2 linked regions of the Nothobranchius furzeri genome follow. The protein of the gene in region 1 purifies or fractionates together with the protein of each later gene. This does not show direct contact. Links are inferred from orthologs where the notes say so. Each region holds a gene or a part of one and is shown in the gene's direction. Other genes may lie near its edges. The genes, in order: rab27b and sytl4.

Region 1 (3,823 bases):
TTGATCAGAACCCACAGAACCAGATCCTGGATCCAAGCTGTTGAACGATCCTTCACCCTAGCAGCCTGCTCAGCCTCGGCCTCCCAAGGGCCACGTGACATCAGAGATGAGGGAACACCTTGGGATCCTCCACGACCTCCTAGACCCGTGGTTCTTAATCCTGGTCCTAGAGGGCCGGTGTCCAGCATGTTTTAGTTTTAACTCTGCTTCAACACACCTGATTTCAATCAGCAGGTGATTAACAAGCTTCTGCAGAGCCTGGTGAGCTTCTGCAGGTGATTCAACCACTGAATCTTGTGTGCTGGAGCAGAGAAACCACTAAAACGTGCTGGAGACCAGCCGTCCAGGATCAGGATTGAGAACCAATTACCTAGACCTAAAACTGTAGGCAGGTGGGTGGATGGGTGGGCTGATGGATGATGGATGGATGCACTGAGGAACCAAACCAGATGATGAAGTGTGATGAAGAGTCAGAGGTGTGAAAGCCGCCCGAAGCTTCTTCATAGACCTCAGACGGAGATCTACCTCCTGATTCCTTCTCCGGGTTAGATTCCAGGATCTGATCCCACCGTCTGACCGGAGGGTCGGTTTTATTAATGCAGCTAAACATCGAGCCTTTGACGGTTTCTGAGACGTCGTTAAGCCTAACTACATAAAATGTCTTTGCATCCAGGAAAAAGAGACAGAGCGCTAAAGTAAACAAAAGGATTTCCAACGTCACGGAATGAGAATGCCACATCTGACGTATTTGTGAAGGAAATAGGTTTAGCAGCGATCTGACCTTTCCTGTCTGAGCAGGAGACACAACCTTCTCTGACAGTAACGCGATCCAACGCAGAGAACTTCCATTTCTGTCTCGCATCAATCTTCGTCGAGTTTTCGGTTGTGCTGGCGGCTTTCTGAGGATTAAGAGACACTCTTTATGTTTTTTTCACCGCGGAGACGAACCAGAGATGGTGGAAGAGCTTCAGTTCACCGTCAATCTCGGGGATCGGCTCTAATATTTTTATTTGCTCCTCTTTAGGTTTACACGGCATCGAATCCAAACGGAACGGCAACAGGAAAAACCTTCAAGGTTCACCTCCAGCTCTGGGATACGGCTGGACAGGAACGGTGAGCCCTTCTCGGATAGCTTCCCGAACAGCCTCTGTTTGGAGAAGTAGGGTTTACAGGAATGACGTGCTAACAGCTAGTCATCTTAAATCAGCTTCAGTCTGCTTCTCAAGAGTTTAAATGACATTCTTTAAGAAACTTTTATTCTGCCATGTTTCATTCATTTGCTCGTAAACAGAGTTTCATGTAAATAACTGGTTTATCGTCACTCATCCACCAATTTTGCAGACTCCGGCAGGTTTATCGAATAATTAAAGAGCAAGTCACCCCCTACCTATCTTAGTTTTGATCAGAAACAACATTATTCACAATTGTTTTGTTTATTTGTCACATTTAAGTATCTTCCTGAGCAGCCTCTGTTTCCTCTTTATGTTCATCAGGAGTGATGAGCTAACGGCTAGTTTTGGTGAAGACCATTGGGTGTTTATGCCGTCCTGAATTAACTCCAATTTACTCAAGTTCCCAGAAGTTTTTGTGATGTTATTTTACACACAACTGTCAGTTTAATGCTACAGGTTATTCACTATGATGCATTTTTATTAATTTATATGGAATTCTTTGGTTATTTAAAGAGCAAGTCACCCCCTACCAGAATCTTTCTCCACTCCCACTTCCTGTTTGAAAAATGCAACAAATGCTGTTGCCTAGCAGACCGAGAGGGCGGAGCCGCTAACAAATACATACACACACAGTCTCACAACAACATTGTGACATCATATGGTACCAGCTAATGTTCTAGGGTACCTCTTAGCCAATAGCGATGGCAGATTTAAATTCAAATACAGTGCAAAGTTTTTACCTGACAACGGCACAACACTGGCAGTTTTAGGCAGAATATTTAAATTTTAACTACGATGCATCGAAGTGCCAAACTATTGACTTCACGTGTCTGCAGCACAATTAGACACACATTTATATAGTTTATCAGCAAAAAAGTTGGTTTGGGGGTGACTTGCTCTTTAAGAGGAATTATTTAGTTATTTAATAACAGAAATTTGATGAGCACCAATCCTCTTTTTGAAGATTGACACCAGTTTTGGACGAGAGGCACATGAGTAAGATGGACATGTTTTAAAGTGTTTTCTAGGGTTAGGGTTAGGGTTATAATTATAGAGGAATGAATTCTATAGAATTATGTTTATGTATTTAGCAGATGCGTTTGTCCAAAGCAACTTACAGGTGATAATGAAGCCAGCAGGTTGTCCTTGAGGCTAACAACAAACACTAGTCAGTCCTAGGTGAGGCAGCATAATCCATCCTAAAGGGAGGGGAACAAGGAGTGGACAGTAGAGAGGGGGGACGGGTGCAGGGAGGGTCCTGGTTTAGAAGATGCTCTCCGAAGAGCAGGTCTTCAGGAGTTTCTTAAAAAATACAGAAGAATCTTAAGTTTCATTTTTCTACGGGAAGTAACATCTAGCAGCAGCTGTTTACGTCCTCAGATCTGACTTGCTGTCAAAATGGTGCCTTTTATGGTTTATAAGAAAGGATTTAAATGAACCCTCACATGTTCTTAAATTGTTTTTTTCTGTCAGGTTTCGCAGCCTGACTACGGCGTTCTTCAGGGATGCCATGGGTTTCCTCCTGATGTTCGATCTCACCAGCCAGCAGAGTTTTCTAAATGTCAGAAACTGGATGAGTATGTCCTCCTGCTCTGTTTCCATCAGAAAAGTTGTTTCATTTCTCAAAGTCTTTCAGTATTTATCATCAATTTACATAAAAACAAAACTACGATTGTTTAAAGGATCATTTACATGAAGCGTGGTGGGTTTTAATCCTATGCATATTTAAGTGTTTCATTATATCTCTGTTTTGTTTATTTACGAACCATTTCTTAATGTTCAGGTCAGCTTCAGGCCAACGCCTACTGTGAGAACCCGGATATTGTTCTGGTGGGGAACAAGGCGGACCTGGCTGATCAGCGGGAGGTTCAGGAGAAACAGGCCAAGGAGCTGGCTGATAAATATGGGTGACTTTAAAATCCTTTTGTTTTATTTCCAGCTTAAAGATGTGGAACAGTCATTTAATTCATGGGTGAGTCCATGAATGTTGGTGACAGTGTGATCCGCTCATCTAATCCTGTCTGTTTTCTATCAGGAGCTAATGCAGCAGATAGGTGTAGGAGACTATTTTCATGTTCAGCCTGCATGAAACAACCCAGAGTGACCCGTTAGAATCAGAAATAATCAATAAAAAATTGATTTCCACTGTTCCACCCCTTTATAAATTCCTCCATCTCCAGCTGAGTTGTTGTTGTTATGCTGACAAATGTGATTATAATCCTGATGATGTCATGAGTTGACAGTCTCTCATTCCATCACACAAATCTACTCGTCCCAGTTAGATCCTCAAACTGGTTTTATAACTTTATTCTAACGCGGGTTCACTGGTTGAACGTTTAGACACCAAAAACTTTTGATTAAATATTAAACCTTTACCACTGATAGCTGTTAGAAAAAGATAGCTGCTAAAGATGGCTCTTTCTAGATAAAAATCAAAATCCAAAATAGACATAAAAACGATAGAAAAACAGTATGAATAGATGTTTTTGAGCTAATAGCTGTTGGCAGTTAGCGATGATCTAATAGTCAATAGGGGTTAGCTGATTAAAGAGCAAGTCAGCCCTTAGAACTTATCTAATAAGTAATTGGTAGCTGTTAGCACTTATCTGATAGCTAGCTGCTAGCTGATAAATGATGGTTGTTACCTGTTT
Region 2 (3,823 bases), on another chromosome or scaffold:
TCCATACTTATGATAGCACCTGTGTGTGTACACGCGCTTGTTTTAAGATTTCTCTATAAAAGCGTCCAATAGAGTGTGAGAGACCACAGATCTGCCCCCCAAAGATGTGTAGGAGACTGAGGGAGCTCCAAGTCCCAGAGATCCAGGCGCTGCCCCAGAACACAGGAACCCCAAGGAGACTGCAATCAGAAAGGCCCCCGCCCCCCTCGAGAGGCACAGAGGATCGCCCCGGGGGGCCACAACCAGCAGCTGGCAGAGTCCCAGGAGATATCAGCGGCAAGCCCACAGGCCCGCCCGCAGCCTCCCACCCCCTAGCCGGCCGAGCCCGGGACCCAACAACCCGGGACCCAGGGGTGACCACCCCCGCCTGGGACCCAGCAGAGCCCAGGGGCCCAGACCCCACCAGACAGCCACCGGGATTGATCAGGCAGATGCCAAAATCTTAAACCCCCTGACCCGGTTGCCACAAACACTCAGGCAGACCAAGGCACAGCCCCTCACACCAGGTGTGGCAGGGGGAGGGGAGACGAAGATCTATATCATCAAAAGAAGTCCCAGGAGAAGGGAGGAGTCAAAGGCCCCACCTGACATATACAGTCATACACAAACACAGTCACACACTCCCTCCCTCATGCTCACACATGCACATACAACCAAAGACTTACAAAAATGCACGCCGGACACCCACTCATGCTCCCCATACACACCCTATTCACTCTGGTCCCGGTACTGCTGCACATGGGGTACAACCATTACCGGTTCCCTGAGTTCGACCCTTTCTGCTGGGGTGCTGATGAGCAGGCTCCCCCGCCCAACGCTGAGCACAGCAACCCACCACCCCAGACCCCAACCAGACGGCCAGATCTCCCTCCTAGCCTCCAGCCCCAGAAAGCCAAGCAACAAGAGGTGTGCTAAGACCCCTAGTCTCCCTCCGCCTGCTCCAATATAGTGTTGTGTGTTAATGAGGTGTATTCCATGGCTGTGGTGAGCGGGCAGTGCGGGCGTTGTCTGGCCTATGCCAGCTGATGCCACCACACCATCCCACTTGCACCCACAGCCCTCAGTGTCTAAGTGCAGTTTAAAATTGGAAGTGGGCACCGGCCCTCTGGATGAGGCTGAAAAATCCCCCTGCCAAATGCCGTTGAATGTGCTCACTCCCATGGCCTTAAAGCCTGATTTATGCTTCTCCGTTTGCATCAGTGCGGAGACACGTAACGCCATTATCCGTCCTTGCGTAGGGCTCCGGCAGGCATGCAAGTACGTACGGAGTCGAGCCCACTTTTTTAAACATCTGTCGAACGAGACGGATTACGCAAGCTTGTGATTGGTCAGGACGCCGCTGTTGTTTACAGCGCCGCCATTGCAAAGAGAGCCGAGGATAACTAGCGGCAGACACGGAGAAGCTTGAAGAAGACCTCGCGAAAAAACTCTAAAAATATGAACGTTTCATTCTCCCGTGACTGGAGACTGGAAAGGATGCGCAGCAAGCGTTTTATTTGTGGACGGAAATGACAGGAAACGTGGGTTTAGAGGTGGGGAGCGCATGAAGAGGTGGGAGAATGAGAGACAAATATGTCTGTGTTAAAAGTCTCTTATATACACAAAAAACACAATATAAACACACGATCATAGACCAATACATGGCAGGATACCACAGAACAGCGCTATGCCCTCTGTTGTCCTGCCGGGCAATTGCTTTGCAACACTCTCCAGGAGACTGAGAAGTAAAAGAGCAAAACGCTTCAGTCAATCCATGCGTGTCTGTCCCTTGCGCAGCTGACGGAGAAGCATAAACCAGGCTTTAGTGTGTGTTTGCGTGGAATGTCGTTGGTGGAAGTGTTTAAGGTGCAAATAAAATTGGGGGGCAGGTTGCCACAGGAATGCAGAAATGGGGTCCATACCTGCACTCCCTGACTTGTCCACCCCCAAAGGTCCTGTGTGCATGTTTGTGTGATGATGTGAGGGAGCAGGAGGAGAAAAATATGCGGGGATGGGGAGGAATGGCTGGTTGCGCTTAGCCCTCCAGGGAGCCATGTCGTGCATGTCTCACTGAAAATGAATGGAGAGGCAATGTCGCCTCCTGTGTGTCGAGCCCATAATACTTCCACCCCAGTTTCTGCATTAGCTACCAAAATAAAAATTGAGTGCGAAATTGTCAGGTCAGAAAAAGCTGCATAGATCTACGTCACACTCAAATTAGTGTTCATGGACTTGCTCACCTTGGCTTGCGGCTGTGGAAGGCTGTCAAGTTTTGCAGCTAGGAGAGAGCAGAACAAGTATCGACTAGTAGAAGCTAACCATTAGCATTAGCAACTCCACAACACAGCAGATCTCATTCAGACTTGTGTTGTGCTGACACTTCCTGTTGTCAGCCAGCTGGGTGAGGGCGGAGGCGGCTTCTGACGCGCTTCTATTCATAAATCAAACCTCTTTTTGTCTGTGCGTTAGTCTTGGTTATTTTCTTTTACAAGCATTAGCTGGCGTTTTACATGATGCTGTTCCAAGGATAGTAGTGCTCCCAGTTGATCGTCACAAAAAAGAAATGTATTGTGCCATGGATCCCACCACCCATGCGTAATCGGCTCATCCGAAACACCTGAGGACCCACTTAAATCACATGTGACGCACCCGACACCACCACCACCACAGACGAAAGCCCAACCCACAAAATAAATGGCTCTACATGTGTTGTTAATGGGGAAAAACATCAACTTTTTTAATCCAAAAAGAGTGAGCGGAGGCAGCAGAAGAGTTGCTTCACTATTAGCCAATCAGAGGAGAGATTTTCTACATGAATATTAATGAGTAACACTCCAAATCTGTCGTTTTCTGCCCCCCACACCTCCGGTTAGTTTCTACTTTCTGAAACAGAAGTGCCAGAGCTTTTATCCACTGAGTGACTCATGAGGTTTTTATTCATACTAGAGAAAGTAGATTTATTGAAGGTGGTATAAACTGCTGCCACCCAGAGGTCAGACTTTGAACTGCAAAATAAATAAAATAAATGTTTGTATGCAAATCCTCAATAAAAAAAATCCATTCACTGCTTTTATATATCGATTCAGTAGCTGAACACAAAATATTGCAGTATTTCAATGTATCGTTTTTTTTCTTAAATGCTTTCTTGTAATGTAATGTAAAATCAGTAAATATTGGTTATCTAATATAACAGTGATTTTGATATCGGATATCTGTCTACGTTTTTACATCAGTGCATCCCTGGTAAAAAGACATAAATGTTATGACAATTAGGTTTCATTGCTGTTTATTCTAATAAAGTAAATGAGACTTGTATAAACAATCCTTTGACCTTTAGTGACACAGCTTTGTACTTTTCTTTAGTAATAATAATTCTATTGTAAGCAATATTATAATCTACTGCATCAGTGATGTAATGATTATGTGGAGTATCAATTTATCACACTCCTTAACTGATCTGTGTACATTCCAGGGATATAAAGAAAAGGACAGGCGATTGGTTCTATGATCAACGAATCAACCGTTTCTCTGGAGCTCCTGGGCACAACCTAGTGAGGGCCTCCCTGAAAAAGCGGCCTCCAGGTAAGTTCAGGAACAGGAAGTTAATATCAGCTGTTGGATTGTAAACAATGCTTTCCCCACCCATAGCTACAGCAGCAGTGTTTTAGTTTAACATTATTGATTGTGTCTTTTACTTAATCTTTTGGTTTTTTTTTCTTTATGTACAATATTATAGCAAAAAAGCGCGAGACAATTGGAGAAACACTCCTGAGGAGTGTTGAAAATAACACAAATCCTTTTAAACCAGTGCCCCTGCCCAGGCAGAAAGTTCAGACGGCTACCA

Evidence for each region.
Region 2: the proteins of rab27b (region 1) and sytl4 purify together in Homo sapiens (co-immunoprecipitation; 3 studies listed by BioGRID and IntAct, counting the BioPlex papers as one, with this or other methods). This does not show direct contact. The link is inferred for Nothobranchius furzeri from reciprocal best matches to the Homo sapiens genes RAB27B and SYTL4.

What each region holds. Positions count from the first base shown.
Region 1 is NC_091746.1:72,347,980-72,351,802, forward strand, and holds part of rab27b (ras-related protein Rab-27B), read left to right. Parts: intron 1-1,024; coding exon 1,025-1,113; intron 1,114-2,645; coding exon 2,646-2,749; intron 2,750-2,955; coding exon 2,956-3,079; intron 3,080-3,823. UniProt on the Homo sapiens protein: Small GTPase which cycles between active GTP-bound and inactive GDP-bound states. In its active state, binds to a variety of effector proteins to regulate homeostasis of late endocytic pathway, including endosomal positioning, maturation and secretion.
Region 2 is NC_091741.1:84,928,657-84,932,479, forward strand, and holds part of sytl4 (synaptotagmin-like protein 4), read left to right. Parts: intron 1-3,451; coding exon 3,452-3,561; intron 3,562-3,715; coding exon 3,716-3,823. UniProt on the Homo sapiens protein: Modulates exocytosis of dense-core granules and secretion of hormones in the pancreas and the pituitary. Interacts with vesicles containing negatively charged phospholipids in a Ca(2+)-independent manner.